7 linked regions of the Ovis aries genome follow. The protein of the gene in region 2 interacts with the protein of the main gene of each other region in a pairwise test. Links are inferred from orthologs where the notes say so. Each region holds a gene or a part of one and is shown on either strand. Other genes may lie near its edges.

What was found.
Region 1: the proteins of CREB3 (region 2) and DNAJC30 interact in a two-hybrid assay, tested with the Homo sapiens proteins (2 studies listed by BioGRID and IntAct). The two-hybrid records come from large-scale screens. The link is inferred for Ovis aries from reciprocal best matches to the Homo sapiens genes CREB3 and DNAJC30.
Region 3: the proteins of CREB3 (region 2) and ACSF2 interact in a two-hybrid assay, tested with the Homo sapiens proteins (2 studies listed by BioGRID and IntAct). The two-hybrid records come from large-scale screens. The link is inferred for Ovis aries from reciprocal best matches to the Homo sapiens genes CREB3 and ACSF2.
Region 4: the proteins of CREB3 (region 2) and FDPS interact in a two-hybrid assay, tested with the Homo sapiens proteins (2 studies listed by BioGRID and IntAct). The two-hybrid records come from large-scale screens. The link is inferred for Ovis aries from reciprocal best matches to the Homo sapiens genes CREB3 and FDPS.
Region 5: the proteins of CREB3 (region 2) and RHEB interact in a two-hybrid assay, tested with the Homo sapiens proteins (2 studies listed by BioGRID and IntAct). The two-hybrid records come from large-scale screens. The link is inferred for Ovis aries from reciprocal best matches to the Homo sapiens genes CREB3 and RHEB.
Region 6: the proteins of CREB3 (region 2) and TMEM203 interact in a two-hybrid assay, tested with the Homo sapiens proteins (2 studies listed by BioGRID and IntAct). The two-hybrid records come from large-scale screens. The link is inferred for Ovis aries from reciprocal best matches to the Homo sapiens genes CREB3 and TMEM203.
Region 7: the proteins of CREB3 (region 2) and FA2H interact in a two-hybrid assay, tested with the Homo sapiens proteins (2 studies listed by BioGRID and IntAct). The two-hybrid records come from large-scale screens. The link is inferred for Ovis aries from reciprocal best matches to the Homo sapiens genes CREB3 and FA2H.

What each region holds. Positions count from the first base shown.
Region 1 is NC_056077.1:34,036,460-34,040,673, forward strand, and holds the start of DNAJC30 (dnaJ homolog subfamily C member 30, mitochondrial), read left to right. Parts: upstream 1-1,414; 5' UTR 1,415-1,427; coding exon 1,428-2,108; 3' UTR 2,109-4,214. Other genes in the region: BUD23 (probable 18S rRNA (guanine-N(7))-methyltransferase), read right to left, coding at 1,035-1,072, 1,172-1,219. UniProt on the Homo sapiens protein: Mitochondrial protein enriched in neurons that acts as a regulator of mitochondrial respiration. Associates with the ATP synthase complex and facilitates ATP synthesis.
Region 2 is NC_056055.1:52,808,428-52,812,621, reverse strand, and holds the start of CREB3 (cyclic AMP-responsive element-binding protein 3), read left to right. Parts: upstream 1-1,394; 5' UTR 1,395-1,540; coding exon 1,541-1,678; intron 1,679-1,793; coding exon 1,794-1,941; intron 1,942-2,016; coding exon 2,017-2,084; intron 2,085-2,195; coding exon 2,196-2,285; intron 2,286-3,756; coding exon 3,757-3,863; intron 3,864-3,971; coding exon 3,972-4,040; intron 4,041-4,194. UniProt on the Homo sapiens protein: Endoplasmic reticulum (ER)-bound sequence-specific transcription factor that directly binds DNA and activates transcription. Plays a role in the unfolded protein response (UPR), promoting cell survival versus ER stress-induced apoptotic cell death.
Region 3 is NC_056064.1:36,003,018-36,006,970, forward strand, and holds the start of ACSF2 (medium-chain acyl-CoA ligase ACSF2, mitochondrial), read right to left. Parts: upstream 2,801-3,953; 5' UTR 2,756-2,800; coding exon 2,628-2,755; intron 1-2,627. UniProt on the Homo sapiens protein: Acyl-CoA synthases catalyze the initial reaction in fatty acid metabolism, by forming a thioester with CoA. Has some preference toward medium-chain substrates. Plays a role in adipocyte differentiation.
Region 4 is NC_056054.1:105,483,811-105,487,773, forward strand, and holds the start of FDPS (farnesyl pyrophosphate synthase), read left to right. Parts: upstream 1-1,163; 5' UTR 1,164-2,059; coding exon 2,060-2,241; intron 2,242-2,318; coding exon 2,319-2,481; intron 2,482-3,605; coding exon 3,606-3,746; intron 3,747-3,963. UniProt on the Homo sapiens protein: Key enzyme in isoprenoid biosynthesis which catalyzes the formation of farnesyl diphosphate (FPP), a precursor for several classes of essential metabolites including sterols, dolichols, carotenoids, and ubiquinones.
Region 5 is NC_056057.1:115,675,351-115,679,285, forward strand, and holds the start of RHEB (GTP-binding protein Rheb), read right to left. Parts: upstream 2,801-3,935; coding exon 2,749-2,800; intron 1-2,748. UniProt on the Homo sapiens protein: Small GTPase that acts as an allosteric activator of the canonical mTORC1 complex, an evolutionarily conserved central nutrient sensor that stimulates anabolic reactions and macromolecule biosynthesis to promote cellular biomass generation and growth.
Region 6 is NC_056056.1:733,601-737,091, forward strand, and holds TMEM203 (transmembrane protein 203), read left to right. Parts: upstream 1-1,465; 5' UTR 1,466-1,711; coding exon 1,712-2,122; 3' UTR 2,123-2,991; downstream 2,992-3,491. Other genes in the region: NDOR1 (NADPH-dependent diflavin oxidoreductase 1), read right to left, coding at 794-871, 1,208-1,342. UniProt on the Homo sapiens protein: Involved in the regulation of cellular calcium homeotasis. Required for spermatogenesis. Acts as a regulator of STING-mediated inflammatory signaling in macrophages.
Region 7 is NC_056067.1:1,638,734-1,642,233, reverse strand, and holds part of FA2H (fatty acid 2-hydroxylase), read left to right. Parts: intron 1-1,710; coding exon 1,711-1,883; intron 1,884-3,215; coding exon 3,216-3,468; intron 3,469-3,500. UniProt on the Homo sapiens protein: Catalyzes the hydroxylation of free fatty acids at the C-2 position to produce 2-hydroxy fatty acids, which are building blocks of sphingolipids and glycosphingolipids common in neural tissue and epidermis.

The sequences.
Region 1 (4,214 bases), on a different chromosome or scaffold from region 2:
TTTCTAGAAGAATTATCCACTGTAGCTACTCCCATGTAGAAGGGTCAACAATGCACAATAAAAATTATAACAGTGCTCTCCATGAGAAACATAACAAGCCACTCAGGACATTCTTGAGGCTCCATTTAAAAAGAAACTAAATACATAAAGTTAACTGCAGTAATCCTTAACCTAACCCAATATACTCAATATTATACTTTATTTAATCCAGTATGCTCAAAACATCATTTTAATATGTAACATAAAAAAACAATTAATAAATATTTCATTTTCTTTAGATTAAATATGTTTCAAGAGATGGCTGATGGCTACTGGTTACCATATTAAAGTCTAGACTGTATCTGGCTTTCCCAAGATACAGAGAAAGTCACACATAACAAGTTTCCAAAATGCTGAACACAGGGCTCTGCAATTGGAAAAAACTTTCTCTTTGCTAAATAATGACGACTGGCCATAAATTTTTGCTGACCCTAGTACTCTAATTGGAACAAAAAAGACAAAACAGATTATTAGTATCTGCAGAACTTTTTTAGAGTATTGTATCGGAAAAGACTACGTTTGGAAGTACTTGCCCTGGCCCTCACCTATTAACTGGCTTCATTAATTACACATAAAACCACCCTCTCTTAAATTCAGATACTCTACCAACAGCAGCCCCGAGATTTACTGAGACACTGTAAACTGGGACATACAGTAAACATTCTACGGATATTATTTCTCTCCCCCACCTACAAACAGCACTGATGGTTTACACATAACCACTCCGTCCTACCTAATTCTTCACACGCTTAAAATAAGCTGTCACCTTAAACAAAGCAGGTATGATCACTCCCATGCTGATACTAAGATTACCGAGACCCAGAGAATTAGGAGTTTTACTCAAGAGCTGACTTTGACGGTGTCAACAATGGATCAATTCAAGTCTCTTCCTTCCGCCACCCCCAAATTCTGCGTGCTTTCCAAGCACCTCTGCATTCAGGGCAACTTGCCGGTTCCCGACCCCCGACCCCCGGCAACATCCAGGCTTCCCTTACTTGCGCACGTATTTCCGGGCTTCATTCTTGTCGTAATACTGTAAGAACGAGAAAAAAATTGGGGGGAGTCGGGTAAGATATCAAGACGCGGACGCCCTAGGAGAAAAAAGAGGGGCGGGGGCGGTCACAGCCCTCACCAGCTCCGGGGGCCCTTGGAGCTCAGGTCTCCGCCCGCGAGAAGCCATCACCACGCCTCAACAGCAGAACTCGTGCAAGCGGCTCCAGAGCCCGGCTTTTATGTCATCGGCCGGGCGCCCGCCCCGTAACACGCATGCTCCACCCCCTCGTCCCGCCTTCTCTTTTACTCGATTGGCTACAGGGCCGACCGGCTGCGAAAAACGCACGTCTCCCATTGGCCAGTTCATCTTGCACTGCCCGCCAGATTCCCTCAAGATGGCAGCCCGGCGCGATCTGAGGTGGTCGCGACTGTTACTGTGGAGATTGTGGCAGCCCCGGGGGGTTCCCCCAAACCCGAGATCGGGCCTGGGCCCAGAAGCGAGGACTTATACCCGGAGCGACGGCCCGTACTCGCGCACGGCGCTCTATGATCTGCTCGGCGTCCCCTCCACGGCCACGCAGGCGCAAATCAAGGCGGCTTACTACCGGCAGAGCTTCCTCTACCACCCGGACCGCAACTCGGGGAGCGCTGAGGCTGCCGAGCGCTTCACGCGCATCTCCCAGGCTTACGTGGTGCTGGGCAGTACCACCTTGCGTCGCAAGTATGACCGCGGCCTACTGAGCGACGAGGACCTGCGCGGTCCGGGCATCAGGCCTTCCAAGACTCCCGCCGCCGACTCCGAGAAGCCCCGTACCCCTCCGCCCGGCCCTCGGGCCCACGGCCGCGGTCCGGCCTCGCCGGGAGCCAAGCGCACCATGTTCGACTTTGACGCCTTCTACCAGGCGCACTACGGTGAGCAGCTGGAACGCGAACGGCGCCTGAGGGCGCGCCGGGAGGCCTTCCGCAAGATGCAGGAGGACCGGGCCAAGAGGGGCTTACGCTGGGACGAGACCCGAGACTTGGCTTTCGTCCTCGTTCTGCTCACCGTCTTCCTCATCGTGAGCTCTCGTATTTAATCGGAGACTGGAGGGCAGGGGAGCAGCCCCCAGCCAACACCCCGCCGCCCCACCCCACCCCACCCCCAAGAAAATGGCCTTGCGTGTCATCTTGAACCCCTTGCCTCCATTTGTCTACCTCTGCTGGGGCCCAAAGGAACTGCTCTCCTCCTTCTGTTGCCCACCTGTCCAGCTTAGGCATTGACCTGCACGTCCCTACCCCCACCCCGCTCCAGAAAAGGAGGCTTTTCGATGCTCGAGAAAACAGGCCCCTAATGAAGAGTCCTGAAAGCCCGAGAGTGAGGGGTTTTCTGGAGGCCCTGGGGTGCCTGCTTCCAGATGTCAACTTCTGGAACATTTGTTCTGGCTTTCTTGTAAAGCTCCGAGCAAGACTCGTCTGCTCCTGCCCCACGCGTATAATGTGGGGCTCCTGTGTAACCTTGAAACGTGCAATGTGACCAGTTGTGGCTGCCCAAACAAAAAAATCTGGGGTCTTACAAAACTTGCCTTTTTGTGAGTTCCCCCAGCCACAGGTGAGACCTGATGTAGGGTAAAGATGTGATCGGTGGAAACTTAGCCGTTCTTGGGTAGTCAGATCCCACTTGGCCTTCTGTTGGTGGCCTCTGGGAGTGGAAAAGAAAGCAAGGTCGTGAGCCTTCCTGTGCCCGTATTTATTGAATGTATGACCTTGCAGAAATTCATCTGTGGGCATGATGGCAGGGGAGCAAATTGTTTGCTCTTTCGAGATCTGTCATACTTGATGATCCATGTTCTAGTAGGCTCAGTGATTAAAATATTGATGTCGGTAGAGCCAGATTTATCCTTGGGACACTGTGCCTGGCACCTGGTCATTCCTTGACCAGCCAGCCTCATTACTAACTGTGCAGCTCCTCCCTTCCTAGAAATAGAGCCACAAAAGTGGAGGTAAGAGTGGCCTGAGAGTGGCCCCGCCTCCCATTCTGCTGGTAGTGCTTATCACAGGCCCCCCAAGCCAAGTCCTTGAAACATGGCTACTTGAGGCTGTGGGAACTGGGGGAGTTTGAGTAAACAAGATTATTGAGGGAGAGAAGGGACATGTAGAAATGCACTTCCTTATTCAGAGCTGACTGAGGCCTTTTTTTCTTTTTATGGCTGCACAGCTTAGGCATGCGTGATCTTAGTTCCCCAACCAGGGATCGAACCTATGCTCCCCTCTCAACCACTGGATCCCCAGAGAAGTCCCCTCCCCCCGCTTCTTCCCCCCTCTTCTGTTCCTGCTGCTACTGCTGCTGCTAAGTCGCTTCAGTCTTGTCTGACTCGGCGACCCCATAGATGGCAGCCCACCAGGCTCCCCCGTCCCTGGGATTCTCCAGGCAAGAACACTGGAGTGGGTTGCCATTTCCTCCAATGCATGAAAGTGAAAAGTGAAAGTGAAGTCGCTCAGTCATGTCTGACTCCTAGCGACCCCATGGACTGCAGCCTACCAGGCTCCCTCTGTCCGTGGGATTTTCCAGGCAAGAGTACTGGAGTGGGTTGCCATTGCCTCCTCCTAACTGGTGCTAAACAAGTGGGTGATCACTTGCTAGAGCTGTTGTAATCCAGCCCTCTTAACTCTGAGTCTCTGCACACGGGGTGTGGATTAGCTGTGAGAGAGTAGGAACTCAAGTGTGTATGCACTGTTGAGCAGAAAGCCATGGGATAGGAAAACTTGTGCAGAAGACCTACAAGAGTCAGGACCTAAGTCTAGCTTCTAAACAAGGCCAGAGGTGCTTTGCTATATTAACACCAATTCCTGCACTCAGTCTTGCGTGTGCAATTCTTGTGTAAGTTGGGGATAAACCCATAGGTGGTTCAACTTGGTCTTTTCTCTAGCCTTGGAGGTTGGGGGCAAGTTCTTCAGCGTGGCTTTGCAGTGACCCATGTAAATCAGTGGTAAGGCTTTAAGTTCACTCTGGTTCAGACCTGCTGGGCTCAGCAAGCCTTGGTTTGAAGGGAGGGGCATGTGTACTTTTAAAAAGAACATTTAATGTTATTATGTTTCATATTTGGAAAACAGGGTGGGGAAAGTCTGTTCTTTTCAAAGCACAAACAAGTGAAGCTTAGTGGAAGGTACAGAAATTGGTAATTCTCAACCAAAGAGCTGGGACT
Region 2 (4,194 bases):
GTCTCTTAAATTTCACCTGCCTGAGGTCAACTACCCTGACCTCAACTACAGCACAGAAAACTGCCTGAAATTTCTAACATTAATGCTGACCATAATTTGTCTCCTGATTCCCAGTACTGGATTTGACAGGCATCCCTGTCCTACCACATACCTGAATCCAATCCCTGATCCCTAATTTTGATCTAATTTTTACCTGTAGCATCAACTCTGGACCTTTAACCCTGAATCTTCATCCCTAAACCTAAAGTTCATTTGTCACTTGATTCCTGATTCACCCCTTTCTTGTTTATCCCCTGTACTGGCTATGCTAACCTTCTCTAATCCCTAAATCTGGACTTCTAACTTAGTTTCTGTTGTTGACCCTTAACCTGAACTCTAATGTTGGTCGTTATAGAAAACAAAATAATGCCCTTAATCCAAACCTCACCTACACAAAACGCACCTCACACTAATAAATCTAAATTTTAACCCCAGCTGCACACTCCTAAAGCTAACCTTAACTCCTAAAACCCAACTCCACCTAATCTCCAACTCACCCATTCCTGCTCACGTACCCGCTATCAGCTAACCTCAAAGCCGATCCCCGCCCTGCGTCACACTGCCACCCACTCCTCACCCTCCCTCTAAACTATCCTAGGCCGAGGACTGCTCCAGGAAGGGCCTGGCTGCCGAAAAACTGCCTATTTAACTCAGAGCACAAGCAGAGATACACCGGACGCGAACCTCTCCAAGATGACCCGAAACAGACGCAGAAGTCAGGGGCCCTGCCCGCCCGCCTCCCAGGCCTGGTGTCGCGGCCCCACCCTGAGGCCCCAGTTCGCCCGGTCCGGCCTACCTGCGCTGCCCGGCTCTGTGCCCCGCCCGCCGGCCCGCTAACCCGCTCGTTCTCCCGGTGGCTCTCGGGCTGCGGCCTCGCCCTCCCTTCGACACTCTCGGCCACTTCCGTCCCGGGAACGTCCCCCACCCGCGGGCGGCGCCCTGGGCCCGCGCTCTATGGTCGCGGGCACTGCAGGAAGCTGCTCTGGCCCCAGCTCTCGATGCTCGGGAGCCCGCTGACGACCGGCAGCCCCTCCCCAGCCGGAAGCGAGGGTGCGGTGCAGTCCCGAGGAAGCGCCAGAACTGCGCCCTAGTTCCCTTTTAGGCTGTAATCCTTCCTTTTTCTAGCCCGGGGCGGAGCCGCTTCCTCAGAATGCCCGCCCTCAGGGACTGCGGAGGCGGAAGGCACGTCCCCTCTATTTGCATCGCGCCCTGGACGTGGCGCGTACAGCGGCAGCCTCCGCGTCGGGGTGGGGTGGGGGACTCCAACTCCCGGCATGCCTCGCGGGTAGGTGCGTCACTTGTGTTCTGTTGGAAGTCTAGCGGGGAGTGGAGTCTGGAAGGCGTGTCCCGGTTTCAGAGCCTTCGCCAGCAGCTAGGAGGAAAACGCCGCTGAAGAGCCGATAGGTGGGGCCGACTGACAGTCCGTCGCGGTTACGCCTGGTTGGGGATAGGGTCCGGGTGGCGAGGTGAACTCCTGTGTTTCTGCGCATCTTTTCCATAAATGTCTCATATGGAGCTGGCGTTGGACCCGGGTGACCGTGACCTGCTAGGCTTTCTGCTAGAGGAAAGCGGTGGTTTGGGTGCGGCGCCCGACGAGGCCTTGGCGTCTCCGCCGGATTGGGAGCTGCCACTTTCTGAGGCGAGTGGGGGGCTCTGAGTCGGGGAGGCGTGAGGCGGGTTTGTGGGCGGGGTAGGGGTGTCCCTGAGGCAGGGGGTGGTGATGGTCAAAGCCTGTCAATTTGAACCCTGTGCAGTCTCTGAGCGATTGGGACGTGGAGGATTTCCTGAGCTGCCTGCCGAGTCCCCCATCATCGTTGAACGTTTTCAGCAGCTCTAACTCCTGTCTTGTCCAGCATGACCACACCTATTCTCTCTCACAAGAGCATGTCTCCATAGATCTAGGTAAGCCTGAAATAAGTGAAGTTTGGGAAAGGAGAGGACTCCGAGGCCTGACTACTCATATTTTCCCTTTTGCAGATAATGAGAGCTATGGAAAAGAGGGGACTCAGATGACTCCACTGTGTGTGGAGGAGCCGGCAGATCAGGTACTTGACTTATAGGAGGGTTATTTCCGTATTGCGCGGGTCGGGGCAGTATTCCGCGTTACTTTCTGAAATCCCTTTGCAACTCTGCTGCCCATCTCTCCGGAACCGCAGGAGATTGCTAGGCTGATACTGACTGAGGAGGAGAAAAGGCTGTTGGAGAAGGAGGGGCTTACTTTGCCTGGGATGCTTCCACTCACTAAGGTAAGTCTCCCATCGCGGGGACGGGGGTTGTGAGTTCCAAGTAGGCCAGTTCTGTTAATTTTGTATCAGTAACTTGAAAAAGAATTGAGGTGAGAGATTAGCACATTTTTGAGTAGGAAGCTGGGGCATGTGGTTAGTATACTGCTTGCAAGGACAGATCCTGGTTTGTAGTGCTTTTATAAATTTTGGTGTTCTTTTTAACTAAGAATTCAAAATTATCAGGGTAATATTAGTAAAGGGATTTGGAAAGTACTGTACAAGCGCGGGGCTCTGATACTTATATTTCACTGGTTTCATGCAATTTACTTGTAGCTGAATAGTAAATCAAGTATTAGAGTAGTATAACAAGTAGTATAACAATTAAGTAGTATAACAAGAGTAAATGTGAAATTTGGAGTTTCAAGCAATGAGAGGCAGTTTCACATGCACAGTATTGTGATACTATGATGAAATCAATGTCTGTTAACAGAAAGGTTAACAATTTTAATTTCTCAAAAATATAAGTTGAGGCAATCCCCTGGCAATCCAGTGGTTAGGACTCTGTGCTTTCACTGCTCAGGGTCAGGGTGCAATCCTGGTCTGCACCAGGGTGCAATCCCCTGGTCTGGGAACTGAGATTCCACAAGTGCGAGGTGTGGCCAAAAAAAAGTACAAGTTGAGTCAACAGTGTGATATGGCTACTAAGGAAGAGAATGGGGTTTAGAAGCTGTATCATCAGATTTAGTTGTTGTTGTTTGGTCGCTAAGTCGTGTCCAACTCTTTGTAATTCCATGGACTATGGCCCCCAAACTCCTCTGTCCATGGGATTTCCCAGACAAGAATACTGGAGTACGTTGCAATTTCCTTCTCCAGGGGATCATCCCAACCCAGGGATGGAACCTGTGTTTCCTGAGTCGCCTGCATTGTAGGCAGATTCTTTACTGCTGAGGCACTGGGGAAGCCCAGTTGTATCATCAGATACCAGTTATCTAATAGTGTTGCCACTAGAAGGGCAGTAACTATCTTGTTTTCTTTTACATTGGCCAAAAAGCTTCTTAAGTTTTGAGCCTATTATCTTTGACAGATATTAAGAAGATGCAGTCCATCCTGAGAAGAGATAAGATGATGAGTTAAAATTTTTGCCCAGTTTTTTTTTTTTTTTTTAACTCTGAAGAAATGCCAAGTGCTTTAAAATAGCTGAAGACCTTTGTTCTATTATGGCCCCAGAGATTAGGTGCTAGGTAAGTCCAACAGGTAGAAATAACAAAGGCAGATGTTGGCTCATAAGGAAGGTTTTAAAAAAAAATTATCTAACAAAATTGTTACAATGGTTTGGCTTGTGAGGACAGAAGCATTCAGACAGAAGCAGAGTGCCTATTGGTCAGGGAAATTGTAGAAGGAATCTCTGCTTTGAGAAGATTGAACTCGGTTGCCTTCAAACTCTTTGGTCTAATGTTCCTCTGATGGGATCCCTTTTCCTGTCTTCTCCCAGATGGAGGAACAAGTCCTGAAACGAGTGCGGAGGAAGATTCGAAACAAAAAGTCTGCTCAAGAGAGCCGTAGGAAGAAGAAGGTGTATGTGGGGGGTTTAGAAAGCAGGTATGAAAGGGAGCTGGACTCGGGGGTGGGAGAAACAGGTAATTGGAAGTGTGAGGTTTTTGAAGGGAGGATACAGGCCATGTCCCCACATCCCTGTTATTCCTCCAGGGTCCTGAAATACACAGCCCAGAATCTGGAGCTACAGAACAAAGTACAGCTCCTGGAGGAACAGAATCTGTAAGCAGCTCTTTCACATCAGGGTTTGCTCATCCCTCCCGCTTACTACTGTCTCAGTCTTTCTCCTGCTCCATATTTGATTTGTCACCGGGCATCTCTCACATATGTCTGATGCTTGGTCTTTAGTGGGTCTCTGATTCCATGAAGCTCACAG
Region 3 (3,953 bases), on a different chromosome or scaffold from region 2:
GGAAGGAGTTGGTAGTTCAGGAGGTTTGGAGAGCAATGAACAGTTTCTTCTTTCCTTCTGGAAAAAAGAAGCTGGACAGCCCTGACTTGGGTGAATAAGGGATTGTCCAGCAGATCCAAGGGCTAGACTTGGGCCTGGCAGAGGCTGACATCTTGGTAACTAGCCATGAGAGAGAACCAGACGCAAGCAAGAGGACACTTTCTTGAGGGACTCCGCTCCTACCTTCAAATCACTCGAAATGTCTCCACAGACCCCATCTGGAGGTTCTCAGGGACCGACCCTGCCCCCCAAACAAAGACTGAGAAGAGCAAGCCTTTGTCAGTACAGCAAGCAGCAGCGTTAGTGACAAACTCCACGTAGGCTCCGAGGTTAGGTAACGTACTTAAAGTCATGTAGCAAGTAGGCAGAGGAGCCAGGGCTATAACCCAAAGCAGTTTAGCTTCAAAGTTCTTGCTTTTTCCTAACAGGCAAAACTGGGGATCTGATAAGTAACAGGCATGGCGTGTTGGTCAGCAAGAAAGCAGTCTAGGGTTTCCCTGATGGTCCAGTGGTTAAGAATCCGCCTTGAAATGCAGGGGACACCGGTTTGATCCCTGCTCCAGGAAGATTCCACATGCTATGGAGCAACTAAGCCTGTGCACCTACTGAGCCTGTGTTCTAGACTCTGTGAACCGCAACTACTGAGCCCATGTGTTGCAACTACTGAAGCCCGTGAGCCTACAGCCCATGCTCTGGCCAATAAAAGAAGCCACCACAATGGGAAGCCTGGCATGCTGCAACTAGAGAGTAGCCGCCACTTGTGGCAACTAGAGAAAGCCAGTGTGCAGCAACGAAGACCCAGTACAGCCAAAAAATAAATAAACAAATCCTAGAAAGAAAGAAAGCAGGTTGTATGTGACCAGATCAGAAACAGCAAAGTACAGAAGTCCAGGAGCTTTTCACACCATGGCACCTAGAACAGTGAGTAGTAATCATGCTGACTTATCTTCTCCCTCACTGGACTACAACTTCCCGGAAGACTGAGTTTGCTGGCTTTTGTAACAACAGCATCCACCTTGGCTTGGCATGGTGTAAGCGCTCAGGAATATCTGTTGAATGCTTGAGACTCTTGAGGATTTCTTAAGGGCAAGGTAGGAACAAAATCAGGTTAAACCACCACAGTCAGTAGGTAACGCCTTAAGCACAAGGCAGTGGCAGGCATGGAAGGGAATTAGGCCAAATGCTAAGGCAATCTTTCTCTCCATGGATCTCCTCCTGACAGTCAGAATTTCTCTGAGGCCTGGTGCCCCTAATCCTCGATTGTAAGCCTGAGGCAGGCATGAGGTCTGCTTTATTTACGCATAAAGTCAAAGGTCAGGAAGGATGCCATGCGGTCAAAGGTGGCCTGACCTAGCATCGTGAAACATGTTCGCTTTGGAAAGTAAATAAGGAAAGCCCTCACAGTCTAAGGAGCATCCTGAAGACCAGAGGTGAGGCTTGGAGGCTACAAGCTAGCCATGGCAGAGCTTGCCTAGGGAGGCACCGAGGGGGGGGGGGGTAGTAAGTGACCAAGCTAGAGGAGAATTGTTTTCTTCATCAGAATCCCATCTGCTGACGCGCCTTGAGCCACTGGGTTTCCCCAGGAAATTAGGCCTGGTGACCCGAAAGCACGGCATATGCTTTCCATCTTCAGAAACCAGCATGTTCAAAACACTGTGATCTTGGAACTCCAGCCCAAGAAGAGTCTGCCGTCTCCCTCCAACTTCCCTCCTCCTCCTTTTGTTTTTTTAAACAAGCAGTTCTCTCAGACAAGAAACCTCTTCCGGCTTCTAGTCCCTTTTCCATGCCCAGGCCTACACTCCACCTGGTGTTCAAAGCTGTGTCCTGACCCCAGCCCTAGTATGTGGCCTAGCTGGGTGGCAGGGCAGACTCATCGGTGCCCAGGCCTCCCTCTGCTGGGTGCTGAAGGTAAAAGCCACCACTGACCACATCAGTGGGAGCCCAGTTCTGCTTCATCAACACAGTTTCACAACTGCAGACTTACACGGAGGTACCATTAACTTACTTCACTGTTGCAGAGCACATCCTCCACCTGCCAGCCCCCATCCTACCCTCTGCATTGAGGATAGAAGAAAACAGACCCAGTAGGTAGGAAGGAGCCAAGCAGTGTTAGCAGTTGGGGAGAAGAGCAGACACTGCAGAGCTTAGTGGCCTGGGGTGGACAACACGGGGTGGGAGGTCCCCAAGTTTATCAGTGAAAGGGGTCTAGCTCAGAGCCAGTGTCCTGGGGACTGAGCGCAGGCCTTGCCCTTGCCCCTCCCCCTCAGGACAGGCTGCTAGAGGCCCCACTTCTGGTCATCAGTGTGCCCACCAATGGAAGAGCCTAAAGCCCCGGACCAGAGCCCAGAGTCAGTGCAGGGTCCCTGACAGCCACCAGCTGCAGCCACCAGTCTGCGTGGGCAGGCCAGCATTTCCTGTTGCCTGAGTGCCAGGTGCGGGGGTACCTTCTCCTTGGCGTGCGCCACCCGGAGGTGGGGCAGCCGAGGACCTCCCAGCCTGAGCGCGATCGACCCCCAGAGAGGCTCTGAAGGATCCCCAAGACCCCCTCCCAGGGGACTGACCCGTCCCTCTCCTCCAGGGCCGCGTACCTGAGAGGACGGACGCCCCACAACCTCGCTTCCTGCCAAGACCGGGAGAGGCCGACCCGGGCCCCCAGCACCCTCGGGCTCCGGGCGCACAGCCTTGCGACGCGCAGCATCCCGACGTAGACAGCCATGGCTCGCGACGCCCGCGTCCCGGCCAGAGAAAACTTTTAAAGTGCGCCGAGGCGGGGCGAGCGCGGAGCGGGCGGGGAGGCGGGAGGGTCGCCTCTGCCTATGGGTTTCAGAGGACTCGGTGCCGGGCGGGCGGGGCGGAGCGAGGCGAGGCCGAGAGAGGCATGGAGGAAGAGCCTGCTCGCGGGCCACCTTCCCCTGGACCCGCAGCCCTCCCCCTCCTGCCCCCACTCTCGAAGAATTGCCCTGGTTTCCCTCCGGATCGGGCGTCCACGGCCGCTGCCCAAGGCAGGTCTCCCTTCCCAACCACCCGGGGCCTGGGTTTGGAGGCGCAAGACTTTGTTGATTTCGTAGAGGGGCAGCCAGCTGCGCGGCGAGGTCAGACCCGGCCACCGCCCCCCGCCCTGACCCGGCCACCACCCCCCTCGCCCGTCCGCGAGCCGTGTTGGCGCGGGGGGGTCACGTGTTGGCCTACCCCCCCTGCCCGCCCCGGGTTGCAGGCCTGAAGCCAGGGGAGCCCGCGTTCCCAGCGATGCCAGCTGGAGGAGAGGGCCCGCGGCGGAGGGGAGGTAGCTGGGACAAAGGGTGCAGAGCCCCCGGCAGGCCCAAATACTGGCTGAGGATAGATGTCAGCTTCAGAAGGGGCTCGGGTTGGTACCCCCACATCCCAAGCGTCAGTCTCCCATCTCTGCTCCTGGTGGCCTCGGGCATTGGAACCTGTGCCCCATGCTGTTCCAAAGTGTGAATGTAAAGTAAACCTCTCTCTCCAGGCCCTCCCTGAGGCCTTGGAGACCCAGATGCAGGTGCAGAATGCCCAGAAGATGAGTGGCCATTTCTGGACCTGGTGAGGCAAAGAGGCACTGGGCACCAAGGTGGCACATGTGCCAGGTCAGCACGTGTGCCAGATCCGCAGTGTCTCGGTGTAGCCATGACCCTTCCTCTGGAGGAGCGGGAGAACACTGGGGGAAAGGCCCTGGCAGGGTGACCTTCCTGCTCCTGACCCAGAGGTGGGGATATACACTGGGCCAGGAAGAACTGGTGGCTGAGGGTGGGACTTGGCCTAAGACCTTTATTTTTAGTTGGGAACTTGGGCTCAATTGGGGTTGTGAGAAGGAGACTACACTGCTCCTCTTCATGATCCTGAGAGTGACTTCAGAACCCCCTGAAACCCTGGCTCCTGGAGAGGGTCCCCACGTTTCA
Region 4 (3,963 bases), on a different chromosome or scaffold from region 2:
GAAGGGTATGTGTGTGTAAGGAGTGTGTGTGTACAGGGTGTATGTATATGGGGTGTGTGTGTGTACCCATGGTGGGTGAACTGTGTGTGTGTTACCCATGGTGGGTGGGTAAGCGGTGTGTGTAAGGGGTGTGTGTGTGTAAGGTGTGTATGTGTGTTTAAGGGGTGTGTGTGTACAGGGTGTGTGTGTGTGTTACCCATGATGTGTGGGTAAACTTGTATGTATGTGGTACCCATGGTTGCTGGTAAAAGGTGTGTGTGTGTGTGTGGCTGAAGGGTACGTGTGTGTAAGAAGTGTGTGTGTACAGGGTGTATGTATATGGGGGTGTGTGTGTTACCCATGGTGGGTGTGTAAACTTTGTGTGTGTGTGTTACCCATGGTGGGTGGGTAAACTGTGTGTGTGTTTGTGTTACCCATGGTGGGTGGGTAAACTGTGTGTGTGTGTGTGTTACCCATGGTGGGTGGGTGAACTGTGTGTGTGTGTGTTATTCATGGTGGGTGGGTAAACTGTAAGTGTGTATGTGTGTGTGTTATCCACGGTGGGTGGGTACACTGTGTGTGTGTACCTGTGTGTAGGGATAACGGTTCTGGTTTCTCCTTGAGTCTTCGCTTTGTTGAGCACTTAAAGCACTTTATATACTTTATATCACGGTGTTATCCTTTCAAAGAAGTCAACTGAGGCTCAGAAGTTACACGACTGGCCCAAGTTAGACAACCAGTTAAGTAGCCATGATGGCCCCCCTGGGGTTTTAGTAACGTGCCACTCAACTGCACAGGAAAATAATGACAATTTGAGTAGTAAACAACGACTGTTGAGAGCCTGAGTTCAAGGAATTCCAAACCTGTTCGACTCCCTGCAACTTCACCCCATCTTCCGCCCACTCCAGCCCTGTTAGCTTCAGGTCCCGGGGGTCAGCCCTTCCATTGGCTATTGGCTACAGGGCCTCATGCTCATACGAGGGGAAGTAGCCAATCAATGTGGCTCGTCCCCGCCCAGCCAGCCCGCGCTAGATCGCGTAATCGTTGCCCCTCCTGTGGCATTTCGGGAATTGTAGTCCAGTGAAGCATTGCTGCCTGCAGTGAAAGGAGATCGAGAACTACTAGATCCAGCGACCCGAGCGCCGCGCGGTCCAGCTTTTAGGAGTACCCCTCCAACAATCAGGATCTGCAACCAGCATCCAGGAACAGGTGAGAGAGGTCGAGGGCTGGGACCGGAGGCAGGGGCTAGAAACTCGGTCTTAACTCTGTAGCGCAACTTCAAGGCACAGGAGGTCCAGTCTGTTGCGTCGGTGTTCCCCCGTTTTGGGAGTTGGTGGGACGGACTAGCTGACACCGTGGATGTGCAGAAACTCCCGAACTCTGCCATGTGCTTTCCTGGAATCCCAGTATAACTGCACCCTGCTTTGCTCTTCCGCTGCGAACCCTACTCACCCACCCACCCAGTGTTGCTCCGAGGCTGTCAGCACAGTCCTGGCTCTGTGAGGTCCAGTCCCAGAGCCCCAGACTACATGTCCATAGTACCCAGGGGTTCTGCGTTCACGCCTCAAAGCCTGCGCTCCCCTCTCCCTGCCTACCAAGGGAGACTTGGGTTCTAGATTTGGCGCTGCCATTCCCCGGGTACCTCCTACCTCCTAGAGCCTCAGTTTGGCCTCTATAAAAGAGGGTGATTTAAAGATCCTCCCAGCCCCCGGTCCTGAGGTCCTTTACTCTGGATTCTTCAGTCTGTGCTCCAGAATTTGGAGGAAGCAAGCAAGAGTATAGCAATTCCAGAGGCTCCTTTGTGGAGGCGTTGACGGTTTCTCAGCCGGGTAAAGTTACATGGCTTTGAGTCCTAGCCTTCTTATTTTAAGTATGATCAGCTGAGTCTTGGTTACCCAGCCGTACTTTTTGTTCCCTGAGTTTCTTTAAGTGCCCTCCAGCTTAGCCCAGAAGAGAGTGGGGCATTCTGGGTACAGAGGTGGAAGGTTGGAGGGTGACTTGGGGAGCTGACAGCGTGCATCTGCCTCTGGTGCTTGCCCCTGCAGGGAGTGCTCAATGCCCCCTCTCTGTGCCACCCCCCATGCTGCCCCTGTCCCGCTGGCTGAGATCTGTGGGGGTCTTATTGCTGCCAGCCCCGTGCTGGGTGCCCCGGGACAGGTTGCTGGGTCCCCTACGGCGACCCACCCTGGGGCACGGGTGCCCAGTCCTGGGGGCCTGGCACAGTGCCCGCTGCTGGCGGCAAGCGTGGACAGAGGAGCCTCGGTGAGTCTGGCAGGGGTGAGGGGCCTTGGGGAGGGGAGCAGCTGATTAGGTTTCTGACTTGTCCTCCCTCTTGTCAGAGCATTTTACTCCTCCCTCAGAATGAATGGAGACCAGAAATCGGACGCGTTCGCCCAAGAAAGGCAGGATTTCATCCAGCACTTCTCCCAGATTGTCAAGGTGCTGACTGAGGAGGACATTGGGCACCCAGAGACAGGAGATGCCATTACCCGACTCAAGGAGGTGAGGGATTTACAACTCGAGAGGGTGAACCTTTGCAATCTCTGCACATGCGTGGGGTCTCTCTATGGCTCTGGGGTGACTTTTGATAGGTGTGGGAACAGACTTTTATCTGAGAGACTCTGGGTTCATTCTGGAGGGGTCGGAGCCTGGGCAGGTCCAATCAGTCCAGCTTTGTGGTTCTGGTAGGCCAGACATACTGCTTTGCATAGGGGTGGATCGCCCTGGGGGTGAAGGCTTTGATCTGGGTAAGTGTTTGATTTTGTTAAGACAGGGAATTAGGTGTCCAGAAATCATAAGGGGCTATCTTGGCAGGGACCTGGGAGGAAGGGAGGAAGCAGTCTGAAGTGGGGCTGAGTAAAGGTAGTGTTCCATCAGAAACCCCTCCTCTAGGGCAGGAACTATTTGTTGAGATACCTACGTTGCCTGATTCTTTTGGAATATCTAGTGATTCTTTTTGTAATGCCGTCTCATTTGTCTGAGGGAAACTAAGGAAAAGGAAGTCTGTACTTGGATGGAGATTAAAAAGGGAAGTCTTCCCAGTGAATTGCATCTGGTTGATAACAGGGCAGCAGAAGGCAAAATGAGAAGCCCCAGCAGGAGGCAATGCCACTGAAGGAGTAGCGGATGGTCCCCCAGCCTGAGTCCCCTCCAAGCTGTCCTCTGGCTAACCTGGGGAGGAGGGCGCTTGTCTGAGTTAAGTGAGAGGCTTTTTATTGCAGATAGGCTGAACCGTGGAGGGGGGTCGCAGAGGAGGTGGCTGAGAAGGGAGGAATGGGGGTGGGAGAGACCTGAGCTAGCCGCTCTCTTGGCATGCACAAGAGTTTTCCCCGGGTTCAAGCCCTGTCTGGGTTTGGGAGCAGATCTTAATCTCCAGTATGGAGCCTTTCAGTGTTCTGAAGAAGACAACGCAGAGAGAGCCTGGGGACTGGGGAACTTCCTGCTCTGCCCCACGACTTGGAAGAAGCCAGGAGCATAGTAGTTCAGGGGCTGCCTGGAGGAGGGGTTGGGATTGAGGAGGATAAAGTTAGGTTCCCTGGTCTCCGGTGGGAGAAAACAAGGAGAAATCTCAGAATAGCTGCTCCGCAGACCCTGATGCCTTCCTTGTCCCTCTGCTATTCCCCCAGGTCCTGGAGTACAATGCCATCGGAGGCAAGTACAATCGGGGTTTGACGGTGGTGGTAACGTTCCGGAAGCTTGTGGAGCCCGGGAAACAAGATCCTGACAGTCTCCAGCGGGCCCTGACTGTGGGCTGGTGTGTGGAACTGGTGAGAAGGGTGGGGAGCAGCAGGCAAAGACGAGGTTTACTAGAGTGGGGGTGCCCTGGGTGGGATGGGGTGGGACGGGAGGGAAGGGATGGGCCTGAAACTCGGCTTCTCGGTTGTGTTTCTGTGCATCTAGTGTGCTGTGGCCAGACTTAGTGACGAGGGGTTAACAGATGTGGGGAGGCCCTTGTACCAGAAGGTGCGTGTTTCACCTGTACTC
Region 5 (3,935 bases), on a different chromosome or scaffold from region 2:
AAATAACAGGAAAGGTGCTTCAGGACAAAAAAAAAGTTGTATAAATTATCTGAGAATTCTGTTTTTCTCACTGTTAAGTTTTTCCAGTGTTTTTAAAATAACTACAAAATTTGAACACCAAATAGTAAAACAGTCATTGCACTTCGTAGTTTCATCTGAAGGCAAACAAGAGTCATGTCCGGCTCTTTGCGACCCCATGGACTGTAGCCCATCAGGCCTCTCTGTCCATGGGATTCTTCAGGCAGAATCCTGGAGTGGGTTGCCATTTCCTTCTCCAGGGGATCTTCCTGACCCAGGGATTGAACCTGGGTCTCCCGCATTGCAGGCAGACACTTTAACCTCTGAGCCACCAGGGAAGCCCAAACTTTTAAAATAAACTCAGAATGACAAGTATTTTACAAATTAAACTGGCATACGATATTTAGTCAAGAGAATATTCTAAGAAAGATGCGGTTTCAGGCTTAGGCTTTTCCCACCTTCTTTTCCCACCAGTCAATATGACTCTACAGTTTAGCATCACAGTAACACAACCTAGGAATACAGGTACTCAGATTTCTCTACCCTAGCATCATTGGCAAGCAGACAGGTCAGTGAACTCGGAAGTCTGAGTTATTCTCTGAAGAGTGACTAGGATGTGGAATCAGGGAACTATCTCCGTTTCTGATGCTGGCAAAACAAAAAAGCCCACAAACTACAAAAAGTCCTGGTTCCTAACAAAGGTAAACAACTGTAAAATCAAATGCAAAGACTGGTAGTCATTGAACCTGTGCAAAACACATTTTAATCATCACCACATATGAAAATAAACACGGAGACAATGGAGCAGGCTTTAGCAACAGGAAGGCACAGGAAACAGGGACTGGACCTGCTCTGGGTGCCCCTGGAGGCTGATCCAGCACAGGAGCATCTCGGTGAGCAGTGGCTTAAAATAAACGTGAAGTGAAGGCAAACGGGGGACGTGTCACCTCTGGGTCTTCAAGAGGATGGGATTAGAAGGCAGGAAAGACAAAATTGGTTTCAACTGGACCTAAAGAACTTCTTTAACAAACAGTGATGAAATGGTAGACTAGATTACTGGCGACTGGAATCACCACCTCAAGAATCTCCAGGGGTAAATAAGCCAGAATGTTTGGGACATTCTCTTCAGTTGAAAGCAGGCAGCCCAGGTAATTCATGTCACCTGTAACTTGATTATTCAGACACTGGTACCTTTAACTATGGGCACTCTGAGGAGATAGAACTCATTCAAGAGACAGGATATGTCCGAGTCCCACTCTTCACAATGCAGAGGAGGAAAAGAGAGAGAACAGAGAAGCAAAGGCTCTGAGACACAGACTGTCAATAAAGGGGGGATGCAGTGGTTCCATATGTGCATTCGGGGCTGTTAGAGACTTGAAAAGCCTCCATCTGACGCCCGGAGACTTGACGGCTGCAGTTGTTAAGACTGTCACCTCTCCTCCCCCTCCCTCCACGATCATCGCATCTCACAGGAGTTACCCCCAGGGCTCCTGGCGCCCCTTATCTGTACACAAGAGTCTCTCACCCTCTCATTTTGATACCCCACCCCCCAGCACTTTGACAAAGAGAGGTAATAAAAGGATGAGTAAGCACGCCGCAGCTCATCTTGGTCAAAGAGCACAGACCCTGGCACCGACCGTGGAAAATGGGGGTGAAGAAGCAGAAAGGAAAGCGAAGTCGGGGAGTTCGGCCAATGAGCAGGCAGTTACCAGCTTTCCCAGGGCAGTTCGTGTCACCTCCTTCTGCAGTCACCACAGACTCCGAACCCCTGCCCTCGCCACCCCCACCCCACTGTGGTCAAGTGCGCCCTTTTCCTTGGACAGCTACTTCTTAAAAACAACACAGAAGAAGTAATTTTTCCAGACTTCCGGTTGTCAAAGACAATAAAAACCTCACCCTGAAGCATGGTTAAGTTCAACGGTTCTGTTTCCTCCCTCGTTTTCTGGCATCCCGTCCACCACCTCTCACCCCAGACCACCTCTGTTAGGGGTGGAAAAAGCGACTGCCACTCTCAGTTTCAAATATATGTCAACCTTTGGCGGGGTGCGGGGAGGGGTACTTTTGAATTACTTCGACATTCTGGTTACAAGTATCTGACCTTATTTTTTCCTCCCCAAAGGAAAAGACAGGACACCAAGTGGCCAGAAATTTCCCTTTTTCTGCCCTCCTACTTCGGTCGCTGGCAGCATCTTGGGAGGCTTCCGAAGCGGGAGGTTTCGGGGGGGTGGTGGTCTTTCGAGTTTCTTCCTAGGAAATTGGCCCTCAGCAGCCAACGTCCTCTGAGCTCCCGGGTTTGCTTTAAAATGTTCAAACTTCACAAGACAGAAAAATTACGGCTAAGGAGCCACGTCCTTTGTTGAAGCCCCACGGGTTTTAATTTGGGGTGGAAAAGGCCACCAGCAACAATCACGGACTGCTCCCCGCGGGGAGGGGGGACAGGTGCTACTCCGGGGCTGTGGAGGGCCCTGCGGCGGGCGGCGTGGCGGCCAACCCGGCCCGGCCCGACCCGAGCGCCCGTTCGCCCGCGGCCTCCCACACGCGTCCCCCGCGCTGCCCCGCGGGCCCCGCCGCGCCGCCGGCCTCCGCTCCAAGATGGAGGTGGCGGCGACGGCGGGCGGCCGGTTACGAAACGCGCGGCCGCCACATGGCCGCGCCGGCCCCAAACTTGGCCGGGCCCCGGGCGAGGCTCGGGGCCCGGGGAGCGAGGAGGCCGCGGCGCCCGCCACTCACCCACAGACCGGTAGCCCAGGATCGCGATCTTCCGGGACTTGGACTGCGGCATCTTGGCGGCCTCCTCAGCCCCGGGTCAACCACATCAACCGCGGCGGCGGCGGCTCCTGCGCTGCGATCGGCGGCGGCCGCGCCGGGGCACAGCGGCATCCAGGGGCGGGGCGGGGCGGGCGGGCGCGGCTGCCTCAGCTCCTCGCTCGCGCGCCCAACCGCCCGGAACCGCCGCGCGGCCCCGCCCCCAAACACGCCCACGTGACCGCGCGACGCCGCAGGCGGCTCGCGTCAGCACCGCCCTCCCGCGGCCGCGGCCCCTTCCCCCAAACGCACGGGGTGTGCGTCGGGAAGTGTTTTACTTTAAAGGGAAAAAGAGGGGACGCCGAGATGCCCCTGGAAAAGTCACGACTAAAACTCGCTGCGTCATGACCCGCCCACTGTCTTCCGCCGCTTTTTAATGACGCCAGCTCTCCCCGAGCGCTGATTGGACAGTTCCCATCCGCCCGCGCGCTGACGCGACGGAAACTCCTTCTCCCATTGGGGGGGCGGGCGGTGAAGAGGCGGGCCCGGAGGCGGGGGCTGCTTGGCCCGGCAGCTAAAAATAAACGCCGACTACAAACGCGCGGCTGGGCGCCGGTGAAGTTTGGAGGCTTAGAGCTTCTGAGGGGCTGGAGGCGGGTGGGAGGGGCGGAAAGAAGCTATCTCCCCAGGGATTGGTTAGATCGCGGGGAGGGGGCGGGGCGAAGCGTGGGAGGTGCGGTGATTGGTGGGCCGCTGAGCGGTCCTTGAACTCGCGCCCGCTGAGCCCTTAAAAGGCACGAGGCTGGTGGCGGGTGCCTTGCTGGGCTCTTGGTTGGCTGATATCTTCCTCGTGTGTGTTTTTTTGTTTTTGTTTTAAAATTGCTGCATTGGCTTTCGTGAGTCTAGGTTGGAGGATGTAGGTGATGACGAAGCATCAGCCATGGGTGGAGGACCATGGGAAGAATGGAGTATGCGTTCATTGAAAATGTGAACGTGTTTCATGAAAAAAGCGTTCTCCTCAGTTTTCATGCATCTCCTCAGTTCCGGTCTTAACGCTGGCGTTTGCGGATCCCAGACACCTCACGGGAAAGGAACAGCGCCGGGTCGACGCAGGTTTAACTGTCAACACCTGCATGGCTAATTGAGTAAGGCAGACTTAAAACACCCGCCGT
Region 6 (3,491 bases), on a different chromosome or scaffold from region 2:
GTTTTGCTGGAATACACACGTGACTGCATCACCCCATGGGTTCCACGGCCCTTCGTTTCAAATCCTTCTGCCTCCCCGTGGCTGTTGACCTCTTTGGGATCCAGCCTGGCTGCCCGCTTTGTTTCCCTCCAAGCCTGATTCATTCCTTGGTTCGACCGTCCTGAACCGCTTTCCACTCTTCCGTGGCTGGGCTCTTTTTCTCCTCTGCAGAGGCTGCTCCCTCTTGCCTGGTGCCTGGCTAGCCCCCACTTATCCTTCAAGACTTAGCCTAGCCTCTTTTCTTCTAGAAAGCTCTCTCTGAACCTCCAGATTGAGGGGGCAGCCCTTATTAATGCTCCCATTAACATCAAGCACTTTCTCTTGCAGCGTGCATTTTTTTGACATTGTAACTGCCCGTTAAACATTTGCTTTTGCTGTTTTGAGTTTCACGAGGGCAGAAATGTGACTACTGGGTTCATAGCTGGATTCACAGCATGAGATTATGCTTGGAATACAATGTGTGCTCAAAAGATGGTCAAAGAATGGAAGAATGTTCCCTGAAGCTGAGCTTTGAAATACACACAAGACCCATACCAGATTTATATACAGCCCTGGAAAAAATATGAAAAGTTAAAGGGGTTCAGAGTTTATTAGGAAGGACACCCAGAGCTCCCCGCTCCACCCAGAGATCTCCTCCCAAATCCACAGGAGAAAATTATCCACTGTGCTGCTCAAGTCTTTCCAGGCAACGAAACCAGGGTGCGGGGCAAGGGCAGGGAGCTGAGCTCCTGAGCGCACCTCAGGTCAGCCTTACCTTCATGTTGTCCGGGGGGTCTCCTTGGCCTGCAGTTGCACAAACAAATATCACCACGGGCTCATTAATCAGATTCACCTCAACAAAAAGACACACATGTAAGGCCTCGGGCTGTAATGGCCAGGCATCCTCCCAGCAGCCTGGCTCCCCTCCTCCTCTCAGAGGAATGGGGCAAAGGGACTCAGCGCTCGCGAGCGGCCGGCCTGCCTGCCTTCTCTTTCAGGCTCCTCGGCTACCGCTCCCCTGTCTCCATGCGTTAAACTGGCCGCTGCTCCCAAGCGTTCCCGGCCCCTAAATCTGCCGTAATGGAAGGGCCCGCTCTCAGACGAAACGCAGCCCCCTGGGGCCGAGCGCTTCGGGGGCCGGGGCCCCAAGCCCGCCGGGTACCCCCGCCGAGGTCCGAGGAGCCCTCACCACGGGGTAGGAGTCCAGGGCTTCCACCCGGCAGCTGAGCTGCCGACGCCTGGCCTCGCGGCCCAGCCTCTCCGACACATCCTGGGCTGTGCCCGTTTGGCTGCCGAAGAGCACCAGGAGTCGTGCGCTCGGCATGGGCTGACCCCGGGGAACCCCGCAACCCGGACGTGACCCGCAGCACTCGCCGCCAGCCCGGGCCCCCGCGACCGGCTCCAACTTCCGGCTTCTGGCGTCGGCCGGAAGTGACGCCCTAGGGCCGCGCCCGGCGGGGCATGGCGTCCGAGCGTGGCGGGCGTCGGCGGGTGGTCTGTGAGGGGTCCCGGGTCGGGGCCGGGGGGTCGGCCGCGCGACGGGGCCGAGGGCCGGGGCAGGTGGGGCCGCTTGCTGCCTCTCGTTGGCCGCGGCGGCGGCAGCGGCAGGCGCCAGCGAGGCTAGGAGGGCGCGGCCGCGTAGCTCGGCAGCTGGGACGCTCGGCCGGGCCCCGGCCCGCGCCCAACCGGCGCGATGCTCTTCTCGCTCCGGGAGCTGGTGCAGTGGCTGGGCTTCGCCACCTTCGAGATCTTCGTGCACTTGCTGGCCCTGTTGGTGTTCTCTGTGCTGCTAGCCCTGCGTGTGGACGGCCTGGCTCCTGGCCTCTCCTGGTGGAACGTCTTTGTGCCCTTCTTCGCTGCTGATGGGCTCAGCACCTACTTCACCACCATCGTCTCCGTGCGACTCTTCCAGGATGGAGAGAAGCGGCTGGCCGTGCTCCGCCTTTTCTGGGTCCTCACAGTTCTCAGCCTGAAGTTCGTTTTCGAGATGTTGTTGTGCCAGAAGTTGGTGGAGCAAACGAGAGAGCTTTGGTTCGGCCTGATCACGTCTCCGGCCTTCATTCTCCTGCAGCTGCTCATGATCCGCGCCTGCCGAGTCAACTAGCCTCGCAGAAGATAGGCTGGAGTGCTGGGGCCCACACGGAGGCCCCGTGTCTGCCGCACCAGAGAAATCTTGAGTCTGAGGGCCAGCTTGTGCCCTGCTGCGTGCCTGGTTTTCGATCGGTCGTGTCTGAAATTGTTCCCTCAGTTGGGTTAAAAAGAGAAGCCTTGATTCTTAAAGTGTATTTTCTCTTACTTCATACTTTGAATAGCTAATCTTGAACTGAGATCCCAAGAAGGATCCTGAGAAGGCCAGACAATCCTGAACTCCTGACAGAAACTGCATATAAGTAAAATATCCTCATGGGCTCTTGAGTATTTTCATGGATCCTGGCAAAGTACGCCGTGTGCAAAGGCTGCAAAGCTGGACTCGGGATATGCCCTGGCGAGCAGTGCTGACCTGAGCGCTTGCTGTCCCCATCTCCCCGGACAAGACTTTCTTAGATGCTTGAGCTCTAAAAAGTGTAAACCGGCTTGTGTCTTCTCCCCAGTGGCACTGCGGAGGATAGCTTTTTCTTCATTCCAACCCAGGCAGACAGGAGGATGTTAAATAAGCGTGACCCGGACCCTATCCGGAGATCTGTCGCCTGAGAAAAGAACTTGCTTTCAAGGCACTGCTTGGCTTCCTATCCCAGCTTTTCCACCACCTTGTGGCCGGCAGTGTTAGTGCATCTGAGACGTTTAGGCCACTCTGAGGGACCAGAGAGGAACAGGTGTTCTGATGCGAATGGGCATTGAGACCTACACATGGGAAGTTTGCAGTTGGTCTCAGCCCACGCTTGTCACCCTGAGGGCTTTGGTTTGATGCCAGTTAGGTGCCAAATGAGAACATTTGCTGAGATGAAAATAAAGTAAGAGAGTGTTTTGCTGAAACACACAGTGGTTGCCTGACCTTTTGAGGGTCAATGCTGAGCCACTCCCTGCTGTGTGGTGTGTGTGTGGTCACAGAGCTGAGGTGGTGAGAGAGGGCTGGAAGTTGGCTCGAGCCTTCTGGTTGGATGGCAGCGTAGTTCCCTCGGAGCATCCCTGCTCCCTGCCTGGGAGCCAGGGTGAAGACACCCTGGGGGTGGGCCCACTTTGGGGGCTAACAGGCGTGTGCCATCAGAGGCCTTGTAGGCCTCACTGAACTGCAGAGCAGGAGTCAGCAGGCTATGACACGGGGCCTGTGTTTGTACTGCCCCTCAGCTAAAAATAACTTACATTTTCAAAGGGTTGTGAAGACACCATGGCAGAGAGTGAGTGTGGCCTGCAGTGTACGGGGCTTGTGATCTGGGCACGGTTGGCCTTTGGGTCAGATCACTTTTGTTTGTGTGCGTGCAGGGAGAGGCTGTCCTGGGCATCATAGAGTGTTCAGTGGCACCCCTGACCCCCAC
Region 7 (3,500 bases), on a different chromosome or scaffold from region 2:
CTCCCAGGAATATACCCAAGACAACTAAAAACAGGACTGTTCATAGCAGCATTATTCAGAATAGCCAAAAGAATAGAAACATCTCAGCTGTCCATCAGCTGGTGAGTGGGTAAACAATTATGAAGTTCTAACACATGCTACAAAATGGGTGAACCTTAAAAATATTGCAAACAAAAGAAGCCAGTCACAACAGACCACATATTGTATGATTCCATTGGTATGATGGGTCCAGAATCAGAAAACATGACAGACAGAAAGTAAATTAGAGGTTTCCTGGCTCTGGGAAATGACAAAGGTTGGAATGACTGCTAATGGGTAAAGGGTTTCTTTCTGGGTGATGAAAAGGCTCTAAAATTGTGGTGATGGTTGTGCAACTGTAGATATACCAAATATCACTGAACTATACACTTTAAATGGGTGAATTGTAAGATACGTGAGTGGTATTTCAATAAAGCTGCCACTTTTTTCAAGAGAAAGTATAACCAAAGCAGTGGCTAGTGGAGAAAAGAAGTAAAACTTAGCGGGTGACGGTAGACCTGAAGACACGGTGAGAGCTGAAGTCCCTGTGAAGTTAGAGAATCAGTGAGGTGGAGAAAAGGAACCAAGGCCGTGAGGACTGCAGGCCGTCCTCCAGGAGCGGGGCGCAGGGGCCTCACGTGATGATAATGGCATCACTCCAGTCTTTTGGTCTCCAGGCTAATCGTCCGTTTTTTCGCATCTCCCTCGCATGCTGTGGTTTTTAGATGTTCTCAGTGAACCTTTCTCTCCTTGGGTTTTCCTGACCCTCTTGTCCCCCTGGCCCCATCTTCCCTGGGGAGATGGTTGTTAACATCTTCCATCAACAGCCCCCAGGTCTGCTGGCTTCATCAGGATCACCTCTCCCTCTCCTCCATGCCACTGAGGCAAGGTCACTCTTTCCTGGTGTCAGTCCATGTGGGCTGCTGTAACAAAACAGCATAGACTAGGTGGCTTGTAAACGACAAATTGATTGCTTATGATTCTAGAGGCTGGAAGTCTGAGATCAGGGTGCCAGCATAGTCAGGGGAGAGCCCTCTTCTAGGTCAAAGACTCCTTGAGTACTCGTATGTCAAAAAGGGGAGGATCCTGTCGCGCCTCTTTCATGAGGGAATTAGTCCTGTTCGCCTGATGACCTGAGCACCTCTCATCACCCTGGAGGTTAGGTTTCAGCATGTGGATCTGAGAGGACACATGCAGACCATAGCACCGGGCAGAGGTCCAGCACTGGCCGCGGCTGTTCCTCTCACGGTCCCTTTAAGGAAGATCTCAGATCTCTAGTCAAATCTTACCGTGATACCAAAGTCAGACAAAAATACCACAAGAAAGAAAACTCCAGAGCAGCTGTCACTCGGGGATCCAGAGGCAGCAGTCATCAACAGAATACTAGCAGACTGAATCCTAGAACATATTAAAGCGTTATGCACCATGACGAAATGGGATTGACTCCTGGAACGCAAGGGTGGCTCAATACCTGAAATCAGTGTGATCCACCACGTTAGTCGTCCTCTGACGGGACTCTTCCTAAATAAGCCCACACACATCCTCACAGTGTCCTTCCTGTTTTGACTCTCGGGTCCCAGTGGTGGGGCTGGGCCCCGCAGCTGCAGAGCCGAGGGCAGCAGCCCCCAATGTGATGGGGCTGGGCCGCTGGGGCCTCCAGCCCCTGACCTCCCTCTCTCATGCCTGATGCAGAGTACTCAGTGGCCATGCCTGAGTCGGCGTTCCCGGGCCTCTTCGTGCTGGGGCTGTTCCTCTGGAGCCTCGTGGAGTACCTCATCCATCGCTTCCTGTTCCACATGAAGCCGCCCAGCGACAGCGCTTACCTCATCATGCTACACTTCGCCATGCACGGCCAGCACCACAAGGTGAGCAGCGCAGTGCCCCCCCCCCCCCCAGGCCATGCTGCTGATGCCTGCCCTCAGGAGCGCCCGTCTCGGTGGGGGTTGGGTTGAGGGCGAGGAGAAGTCAAGGGCATGTGATTGGGTCCAAGCCTGAACCGGCCATGGACAGAGTGAGCATGCCTGCCCAACGCTAATCCTCACAACAGCTCATTCATTTGCTTGTTCAACAAACGCTCACTGACCGCTCACTATGTGCCATGTGCTGTTCTGGACACCATCGATCAAAACAGGCAAGAATCACTGACCTTGTGGACCTTCCCTCTGAAGCGGGTGCTGCCGTTCTCCCCATTCCACAGAGTGGCAGACTGAGGCTTGGGGAAATAAAGGAACTAAGCCATTCAGCCAAGGTCACCCTAGGATGTCGTCCCCTGTGGTCGCCAGAGTCTATGCTGTCGGTCATCCACCCACCCTGGGGCTCCTTCAGGGCAACACACAGGGTCCCAGCAGTGAGGACTGGAAGCCTGGTCCTCCCAGAGGATGTCCCTGCCCCACGCTGTTCCCGTCCTGCCGCAGGGTTCCCACCCTCCCCTCGCCCTCCTTCCCCTTTGACCAGGAGCTGGGGTTCTGGCACGGAGCCCCGCAGGTCCTGCTGTTGCTCCGGTCCGCGGGGAGGGGGGCCCACGCCAGTGTGGTGTTCTGTCTCGGTCACCTGATCGCTCTCTCTCCTCTTTCAGTCCAGAGAGGGTCTCGTCGCAATGCTCGCAGTCTCTAAAGTTTCACCTCTGCCAGGCCCTTGGCTTGTGAAGCCTCAGGACCAGAGGCTAGGCTCTTTCGTGGTCTGGTTCAATGTGACAGCACCCCCTTGGAGCAAAGAAGGCCACCTGGGGGGGAGACCTGCCTGTCAACAGCTCCAGGGTCGCCCAGCATGTGTGCCTTCGTCGCCCTCAGGCCTCGGGCTCGATGCCCTGCGTGGTCCTCGGGGTGGGGGTGGGGGCTCCGGGCTCCTCTCCACACCTAGCAAGTTCCAGGGCCAGAGTGGCCTCTTGAGTGCAGAACGGAGCTTCTCAGGCAAGCTGCTCCTACCTGTGAGCATCTTGCCCACGCCACCCCACCCCCACGTTCCTGGAGCTTCCCAGCTCCTGTCCTGGCTTACTGGGGCCGGGCAGGCTCTCCAGGGCTTCAGGCTTGGTGGCCTGCCCTCCCCAAGCCGCCCACAGGGCCTGCGCCCTCCCTGGCCCGTCTGGGCCGCTCCAGCCGCTCTCCCGAAGGAGCGTCTCCGGCCAGCGTGCGGTGTGTGACCGCAGGCAGGCCCTGGGGCCCCGGGCGGTGTCCTGACGCGTGAGCCTCTGTCCGCAGGCGCCCTTCGACACCTCCCGCCTGGTCTTCCCGCCCGTGCCGGCCTCCCTGATGATAGCCGCCTTCTACCTGCTGCTACGGCTCGTCCTGTCCGCGGCCGTGGCAGGCACCGTGTTTGCGGGGAGCCTCCTGGGCTATGTCATCTACGACCTGATCCACTACTACCTTCACTTCGGCTCTCCCCACGAGGGCTCCTACCTGTACCACCTGAAGGCCCACCACGTCAAGCACCACTTCGCACACCATCAGTCGGGTGAGGACCCACCGTGCCACCCCTCCCTCAGC